2 linked regions of the Rattus norvegicus genome follow. The protein of the gene in region 1 interacts with the protein of each later gene in a biochemical or structural test. Links are inferred from orthologs where the notes say so. Each region holds a gene or a part of one and is shown in the gene's direction. Other genes may lie near its edges. The genes, in order: Plxnd1 and Sema4a.

Region 1 (4,571 bases):
AACAGCGGTGGAGGCAGGTCCCCTGGGTGCTCAGCTGGGGGTGGAGGCGGACATAAGTCTCCAATTTCCTCACTCCTGACCATCAAAGTCAAGGCCATGAATGGGCTGGAACATGGCAGGCAGACAGGCGGGCAGGCAGGCAGGCAGGTGAGGAGAGACAGGAAGGCTGGGGTGGGGGCCAGGGAACTGGGGATGGCTGTATTCTGAGCCCTTGCTGCTGACCCTTCAGACGCAGGGAAAGCCCCTCCTCACCCCATTGGTGAGGAGCAAGGTCACCCTCTGAGAAAGGGCTATCAGGCCTCAAGTTGACAGCTGTAGCTGGTAGGGGCCCCTGACTGAGAACTGGGACTGTGGCTTCAAACACTGGATCTGTGTCTCACCTTCCCCATTAGCTTTACTTCTAGGGCCTCAGTTTCCATGTATGTAAAATGGGTTGAATATTTCTAAGGAAGCTGGCTTTTGGTGTGATCCCATGTGGGCACCCCCATGTTGTGGAGATGACCGCATGCATGGGTGTCTGTGACCTTAGGAAGAGGACTACTTGCCTTTATCCCAGTGCCTACCAGTTCCTTTGAAGTTGACATCAAAGGAGTCTGGTGCCCACTGCCAGCTCATATGTGGAAGGACTTTAGGTTTTCTCAGAACCTTGGACTAAGGGGCAAGGTCCTGGAGGGCCACAGGGTTTGCCTCTTTCCAGAAACCAAGGCCCTGTGGTGTCCTTGCTCAGCCCAGCCCGCCCTTCCAAGAGGGATATACTTTCTCTCAACAATTTTCTACTTGTCTTAGCTTGTCCTGGATGCCTGCTGCTTGTGAACTCCCTTTACAGGGCAGTTTTGGGAACAGACCATGGGGTCCCAGGGGCCTGATGTCCCAGGTCTGGCTGGCCTTTAAAAGGAGGCTTGGAGAACATGTGGAGGGGAGGAGGAGCAGAGGGGGAGGAGGGCGGGGGTGGGGGGTGGGTGCTGTGGCCAGAAGGGGTAGGTGGGCTGAGGGGAAATGGAGGTCTTTAGGGGCAAGGAGAGGAAAAGATAGAGAGGGAGAGCTGCGGGAACAGAAAGGAAAAAAAGAGAGAGAAACACAGATGAGGGAGAGGGTGTGACGCGGGAGAGGCACGGGGCGGAGTTGACTGGATCAGAGTAGAGGAGTCGGAGAGATTGAGAGAGCGAAACTCTGAGCTGCGGTGGAAGGCAAACCGGAGCCCAGAAACAGAAGAGGAAAAGGACTAGAACGAGGAGAAAGAGGAAGGATAACAAACAAGCGTGAGGAAGACATTCCATGTGGTGGCCAGGAACCAGGGAAGTGGCAGGCAACTTGGGACTGCCGGAGTAACGGCCAGCAGCGACCCCGGACCGCGGGGCGTGGCCCGGGGCGTGGCCCGGGGGCGTGGCCCAGGGCTAAAGGGCGTGGACCAAGCGGCTGGGACAGGGATGGACTGTGGGCGTGGCCTCCACGGAGCCGCCCCCGGGCTGAGCGCCGCGCCAGAGTCGGGCCGGGGCGCCGGGGCCGGGGGCGGCAGGCGCGGGCAGGAAGCGCCTCGCGGCCCGGGCCCGCCCCCCGCCTCTCGCCGCCTCCGAGCTCCCGGCTCCCGGCCGCGCCGCGCCCCATGCACTCGCCGCGCCGCGCAGCCCGCGCTCGCCTGGATGGCTCCTCGCGCCGCGGGCGGCGCACCCCCTAGCGCCCGGGCCGCTGCGGCGGTCCCCTTGCCTCCGCGCTCTCACTCGCGGTGCCCCGGTCTGCTGCCGCTGCCTCTGCTGCTGCTGCTTGGGGCGGCACGGGCGGGCGCCCTAGAGATACAGCGCCGCTTCCCCTCGCCCACGCCCACCAACAACTTCGCCCTGGACGGCACGGCGGGCACCGTATACCTGGCGGCGGTGAACCGCCTGTACCAGCTGTCCGGTGCCAACTTGAGCCTGGAGGCCGAGGCGACCGTGGGTCCGGTGCCGGACAGCCCGCTGTGTCACGCCCCGCAGCTCCCGCAGGCCTCGTGCGAGCACCCGCGGCGCCTCACGGACAACTACAACAAAATCTTGCAGTTGGACCCGGGCCAGGGTCTGGTGGTCGCGTGCGGCTCCATCTACCAGGGTCTGTGCCAACTGAGGCGCCGGGGCAACATCTCAGCCCTGGCTGTGAGCTTTCCGCCTGCCGCGCCGACCGCAGAACCGGTCACCGTGTTCCCCAGCATGCTCAACGTGGCCGCCAACCACCCCAACGCGTCCACCGTGGGACTAGTGCTGCCGCCGGCCTCCGGCACCGGGGGCAGCCGTCTGCTCGTGGGCGCCACGTACACCGGCTACGGAAGCGCTTTCTTCCCGCGCAACCGTAGCCTAGAAGACCACCGCTTCGAGAACACGCCCGAGATCTCTATCCGCTCCCTGGACGCGCGTGGAGACTTGGCTAAGCTCTTCACCTTCGACCTCAACCCGTCGGACGACAACATACTGAAGATCAAACAGGGAGCCAAGGAGCAGCACAAGCTGGGCTTCGTGCGTGCCTTCTTGCACCCGGCGGTGCCACCGCACAGCGCGCATCCCTACGCGTACCTGGCGCTCAACAGCGAGGCGCGTGCGGGCGATAAAGACAGCCAGGCGCGCAGCCTGCTGGCGCGCATCTGCCTGCCCCGCGGCGCGGGTGGCGACGCCAAGAAGCTCACCGAGTCCTACATCCAACTGGGCTTGCAGTGCGCGGGCGGCGCGGGCCGGGGTGACCTCTACAGCCGCCTCGTGTCGGTCTTCCCCGCGCGCGAGCAGTTCTTCGCTGTCTTCGAGCGGCCCCAGGGCACCCCAGGTGCCCGCAACGCCCCGGCCGCGCTCTGCGCCTTCCGCTTCGCCGACGTGCAGGCCGCCATTCGTGCAGCGCGCACCGCCTGCTTTGTGGAGCCGGCGCCGGACGTGGTGGCGGTGCTGGACAGCGTGGTTCAGGGCACCGGACCGGCCTGCGAGAGCAAACGCAACATACAGGTAAGCCATGGACCCGAAGAGTGAGTTGGGATACAGTATGCACGCAGATGTCCCAGAGGATTGATGCTGGCCCGGGAGCGTACTGGGTCACAGGTGCACACACCTAAGTGGGGAGGTCTAGGTTGTCAAGATACCCAGGTGTTCCCCCAAGACAGCGCACCTACAAATCAGCTCTGCAGGGGGCGGGGGCACAGGTGCGTGCTGAACCGAGAGAGGGAGTGACACCAAGAGTGTGTTTAGGGAGACTGCGGGTACCCTTAGGACATACCTCTGCACCCTGGCAGATGTGTGATGGGTGTGGCACCTGGTCCTGAAGATAAAGAGAGGGTGGGATGGAAGGGCTGAGTATGTGACAGGGACACTCATCGGAGACCCCAAGAGTGTAGACATGCAGGGATGTAGACTCCTGGTGGGAGTCTGTGCCAGGGGACTCTGGTATTTGGGAAGTGTGATTGGTTCCCTGGAGAGGCCACCTGGTTGGCAAACAGGTGTGTGCTCGAGGCCACTCAACACATAGCAGCTGAGCATCTAGCAGGTGGCATGGCAGACCTGTGAATACAAATGTTGTGGACCTAAGCCAACCATTCTCAACATGTGGGTTGTGACCTCTGTGGAGTCAAGCAACCCTTTCACAGGGGTTGCATTGTCCTGCATATCATCGTGATTCATAACGGTAGCAAAATTACAGTTATGAAGTAGTAGCAACGAAATAATTTTATAGTCGGAGATCACCACAACTGCATTAGAGGGTCACAGCGTTAGGAAGATTGAGAACCATAGACCAGTGTGTCATGTGTCAGATGTCTTCAACAAATGCCTGTCCTCGTCCCTTTGTACATACAGATGAAGAAATGGGTGTTAAGTTTTAGGGGATGCTCAGAGTCCAACAGTTGAAAAGTAGCAGAGGTGGGACTTGAACACAAGCTGTCCGGTCCCAGCGTGTGTCCATGGTGCTGGGGCTTTGCTGCCTTACAGATGTGGAGTGGGGGGCGTCCAGGCAGCCCAGGACAAATGGAGCCACTGAAGATGGAAAGGAGTCTTTGGCAGGGGTCTTTGGCGGAGAACTATAGGGCTGAGAGTGAGGTGGGGTCTCAGGATGGGCAAGAGAGCCAGGTTAGGGGATCACCAAGTGAATTGGCCTTGGGTACAGCCAGTCCCCTCAAATCATTTCACAGCAGAACTCTCTTTCCATTCCCCCAAAGATACTGAGTTTACAAAGGGCTAAGCCCAGCCTTCTGTGCTCACTGAGGCTCCCTGCCTTGTCTCTTTCTCTGTGGTCCTCAGGGGCAGCAAGACGATCCCGTGGGCGTGCCCAACACTGGGGCTTTGAGCAAGCCCAGATTCCTTCTCTTGGCAAAGACTCCCTCAGCCGCCTACCACCCTGCCGATTGACCCCTTACAAGAAAGGTCATAGCGGGTGAGAGGCAGACGGACTATCTGAAGCGTGTAGCTTGTAGCCCTACCACCCGGCGGGGTCAGACCCTGTGCAGACTGCAGGGTGAGGGCAGCCACCCTTCTTCTCTATGGAGCCACAACCTTGCCATGGCTGTGTCTGACTGGATCTGAGGACTGGGAGTGTAGGAAAAGGGAAGCTCTGTGGGCAAGGGAGGCAGC
Region 2 (4,597 bases), on another chromosome or scaffold:
TCCCACCCTGATGCCTGCTTACTCCCTCTGGAGCAGTTCTGAGCTGAGTTAATCCAGTAGGGCAGGAGATGGGACTGAAGGAGCCAGCCATGTAGGGAGAGCTTCCGAATTAGACAGGTCTGAAGTAGATGGGCACCAGGCTGTCCAGCCACCCCGGCTGCACTTCCCTTCTCTGTGCAAGAAGACTGGAGTGGAGCCTGCCTGCTAAAGTTGGGAAGCCTGAAGACCAGTGAGAGCTCTTCACATTGTCAGAGGGACTGGGAGACCACTTGGTCTTGTGAGGAGGTCCAAGGACAGAAACAGAGTAGAGAGATGGCATTAGAGCTGTTCCTCTGGTTCCCCTGTCACAGCTCCTCCCTGTGACCCAGATAGGGTAATCTGTCTCCAAAGAGAGGCCCTGGGGTAGTGGCTTCCCAAGCCTGAGCTAGAGGTCAAGGAGACCCAGGAGATTGTGTCAGAATAGAGAGATTCGCAGAGTTCTCACAGTGAGCATTAGAGTTTGGGGGTGTCTTTTAAGCTTTGACAGATGTAGCCATCAGGAGAGTCTGTGTGAGCCCAGCTCCTGCGGCACAGCAGAGAAGGGGAACAGAGGGAAAAGCATGAAGGGAAAGCCAAGCGGGCTCTACTGAGGAATGCTTCCAGTCTAGGAGCTGTGACCGAAGGGTGGAGGATAGCCTACAGTGGGCAGTGAGAATTGTGTTTAGGATGAAGACAGGGTATGTCTTGGAGGTAGACCAGCCTTGGGTCATCGTGCTCTTTAACCTGAAGTCAGCTGACCTGGGTGAGTGGGCAGCAGCCCAACCACTCTTTATTGAGCCCTTGGTTACTCATTAACCCTGCGTTATGAGGTTTTCCTGGAACCTTTGGGGAGGAGGAACCAGCCACCATTCCAGCTGGGTGTCTCAACTCCAAAGTGTATCCCATGAAGCATGAGCTCAGATGGGAAATTTCTTGAATTTCCCACTGAGACATTAAATTACTAGGGCTTCCTCAAGCAAAGCTATAGGGGAAAAAACCGAATACAAACGTAAGGTGTTTTTCTTTTCTTGTTTATTTGTTTTGAGACAGGGTTTCACTCCGTAGCCCTGGATGTCCTGTAGCTCACTCTGTAGACCAGGCTGGCTTTGAACTCAGAGACAGATCTGCCTGCCTCTGCCTTCTGAGTGCTGAGATTAAAGGTATGTGCCACCATGCCTGGCTTTAAATGTGTAACCTTTCAAGAATGTGGTCCCTCTGGGTGTGGGAGGTGGAGAAGTCGAAGTATGTGGCAGTGGGGGAACCCCACTATGGGGAAGAAAAGAATAGAAATGACAATGTCATACTGAGCTCTCTTGAGCAAGAGGAGTCTGCAGCTTAGGCTGGTTAGACTGGAAGTGATGTACTAGAGAAACAAGGCATCACTGAACTAACTGGCCTAAAAGGAACTCTTAATTTCTGGAGAGACTAAGGAGGGAGGGAGGTGTGTCTCCTGCAAGGTCTGCAAGCCTCACCCCCACTTCCCCCCTCCACCAGTCTCCCCGCCCTGATCCACCAACTTCCGCCCAAGCCAGCCAGGATCTGTCACAACTCGAGGTAGAAATTCTGGTTTCCCTGGCCTGAAACCCACACTGGCTCTGGCAGGATGAGTGCCTGGAGGGCCGCGCTCCCATTCCAGCCAGGCTGAGCCTGCTTTCCATGCCCGGACCCCCTTCCTTGCCTTGGATGGCACCCTGATTCAGGGTTTGAACACAGGACTTCTCCGTGTGGCTGGCTCAAGGGTATGTGAGATAATGGTGGGGAGTGAGGGGGACTTGCATTCAGTGGCCACAGGGAGGCTGATGCAGAGCTCCAAGGAGGCAGACAACAGAGACAGGGGGGCTGGAGAAATTAAGAGTCTACCAGTGACTCCCGCCCCGCCCCTCCCAGGAAATCAGAGGACTGGCCAGACTGGTAGATAAATTGACATGCCCCTACCCCTAAGAGGAAGGCTAGATGGGCTCAATTAAGCAAGAGTCAGAGCCCCTGGGGCTGGGGGAGAGGGTAGGCTGTCTGCCTGGGTTGAGGTGAGTAGCGAGGTATGAGGTGTCACAGTGCCGAGTGGCAGGCCAGCCTGGGGACTCTACCTTTTGCATACAGGACCTAGTTCCCCAGAAACCTTTTGCCCAGGGCCAGAGATGATCAGAGCTCTGGAGTCTAGGGCCAGGAAATACTAAGGGGCAAGAGTGAGAAGGAATTTTCCTGTGAGGCAGGTGAGAAATGGTAAGGTAGTTTTTTAATAGTAGGAGACCAGAGGCACAGCGTAGGCCACAGCAGCACCCTGCACAGAGGGCATCAGCAGGCAACATCGAATCTGGGAATGCATGGAAGTGAGACTCCGAGGGCCCTTCCAGAGAGGAACTTCTGCCCCTCCAGGGCTTTCCTATTGGCCCTCAGGAAGGGTGTGGTAAGCATGGCTAACCCAGAAAGTGCCTGTTTCCTCAGAACCATCTGGTGACTGTCTCCGGATGACCATGGCCCTACCATCCCTGGGCCAAGACCCCTGGAGTCTCCTGAGTGTTTTTTTCTTCCAACTGTTCCTGCTGCTGTCACTGCCACCAGCTTCCGGGACTGGTGGGCAGGGACCCGTGCCCAGAGTCAAGTACCATGCGGGTAAGTGTCTGCTACCTGGGAGGCATGGATGCGTGGTAGAGATGAAGGGACTGAGGAAGGAGAAGAGTGTGCCAGAGAGAATGAAACAGGATGGAGAAACAGATGTCAGGTAGCCTCGGAGGGCCTGGGAGAAGAGGAGGCTACTCGAGGCACAAGTTGGTGTGGAAGGGAAGGAAGGGTCACTGTCACTCTCCCGTCTCTGCCAAGTTTTTCTCCCTCAAGTGTCACAGTAACCAAGCAGGGAACCTTAAATTCCTGACTACTTGCTCAGCACCAGGGGCCCTAAAGCCAAAGTTCAGGCTAGATTGTCTGAGGAGCTGGAAGCCCGAGCCAATGGCAGAGGTCACACCAGGCCAGATCCTGTCCAGTAGGATGGGCACCAGGAGAAGGGATCCTAGCAGCTCACCCAGTCAAAATGGTTTCTTGATAAGGCTGTTGGGCTTCTGACACCTTTAGTTCCAGGAAATGCCCCAGGGGAAGTCACCCACACGCTTGCACACACACACACTGGCACACACACACACACACACACCCCTCGCTCACGAATACAGAAGTAAGGCAGTTCGGTTCACAGCTATAGCTTAGCATCCTTCTGAGGCAAAATGGTAAAGGAGGTGGACCGGCCAGCAGAAAGAGAGGGCATCTCTGGGTGGGACAGGAGTGCAGACACAAACAAGGCTGCATTTCAAGGGGACAAACAAGGAGGAGCCCTCTTCAGAGTTGAGGGGAGGCCAACCTATGTACCACCTTTTCCCATTTTGTTTTCAGAGTCCTCTTGGCCCCCAAATTTCCTGAGGACAAAACAGTAACAACCAGGTTGTCCTCTGACTAAAGTAAAAGGCCAAATGTGCTCACGAGAGAATTTCTGAAGTGCTCACTCCTCCCTGCTGATGGGCCCGTGTGGCAGGAGCCTACACACTCCACAAGGCTAGGTAGCAAATATGCTCTACTAACCAACATATTCGGCACCAGGTGGCACCGAGGCATGCCCACACTGATGGGGCTCAGGCATGCCCACGCTGATGGGCCTCAGAGACAGAGGAAGCAGCGTTTTCAGCCGCAGCCCTGCTAGTGACGGGCAACTCTTATAACAGAGCAAGGGGAGGAAACAGAGGAAATGGGGGTGGCAGGAATCTGTAACCATGATAAGTCTTGTGGCAAATGACAGCTACCTCTGCTGCTTGTGGTTGAGAACTCCTTTCTGTGTCTACCTGTCAGCTCTTCCCTCTCCTATCCTGCCTCACTGAACCCTCCAGGCCTGAGAATGCATCATCTCCTTTTTTTTTTTTTTTTTTTTGTGCCCCAACAAGGCTATTCATTGCTATCTATGCAGTTGGAACCCAGGGTCAGTCCATGTATAGTCTTTGGGTAGTGGCTTAGTCCCTGGAAGCTCTAAGAATGTATTTTCTACCTCACTTCATGTCTGTGTCTTGAGCAGGCTTTCCCCCTAATCCCTGCAACAGCCTGAAGCTATCACTACCCTATCTTGGGCACTTTTCTGGGGACTCAGCACACAAAGTTCAGATGCCTGCTATTGGGGGTGCAGGAAACTGGGGGGGGGAGTCTGCCAGTGAAGAGTGATCTCGGGAGTGGGACGAAGCTGCTGAGGCCTGCCACCCTCCCCCACCTCTGCCTCAGAGATCAGCTACTGCTCACAGCTCCTCCTCATCCTCTCCTTATCACTGCCTCCCAACAGGAGATGGGCACAGGGCCCTCAGCTTCTTTCAACAAAAAGGCCTCCGGGACTTTGACACCCTGCTCCTGAGTGGAGATGGCAACACTCTGTATGTGGGGGCTCGGGAGGCCATCTTGGCCCTGAATATCGAGAATCCAGGAATCCCAAGGCTGAGGAACATGGTGAGGAGGCCAGGGACTTGGGTCCAGGCCAGCAGCTTCCCTGGACCAGCTTCCATATGAACAGCCACCTGCCACTCTGAATCAGCAGTGACAGAAGGGACATGCTGCCGTG

Evidence for each region.
Region 2: the proteins of Plxnd1 (region 1) and Sema4a form a complex in vitro, tested with the Homo sapiens proteins (2 studies listed by IntAct, with this or other methods). The link is inferred for Rattus norvegicus from reciprocal best matches to the Homo sapiens genes PLXND1 and SEMA4A.

What each region holds. Positions count from the first base shown.
Region 1 is NC_086022.1:150,712,224-150,716,794, reverse strand, and holds the start of Plxnd1 (plexin-D1), read left to right. Parts: upstream 1-1,607; 5' UTR 1,608-1,640; coding exon 1,641-2,957; intron 2,958-4,571. UniProt on the Homo sapiens protein: Cell surface receptor for SEMA4A and for class 3 semaphorins, such as SEMA3A, SEMA3C and SEMA3E. Plays an important role in cell-cell signaling, and in regulating the migration of a wide spectrum of cell types.
Region 2 is NC_086020.1:176,209,221-176,213,817, reverse strand, and holds the start of Sema4a (semaphorin-4A precursor), read left to right. Parts: upstream 1-1,559; 5' UTR 1,560-1,757; intron 1,758-1,863; exon of another isoform or gene 1,864-2,042; intron 2,043-2,258; exon of another isoform or gene 2,259-2,460; 5' UTR 2,461-2,483; coding exon 2,484-2,628; intron 2,629-4,324; coding exon 4,325-4,485; intron 4,486-4,597. UniProt on the Homo sapiens protein: Cell surface receptor for PLXNB1, PLXNB2, PLXNB3 and PLXND1 that plays an important role in cell-cell signaling. Regulates glutamatergic and GABAergic synapse development.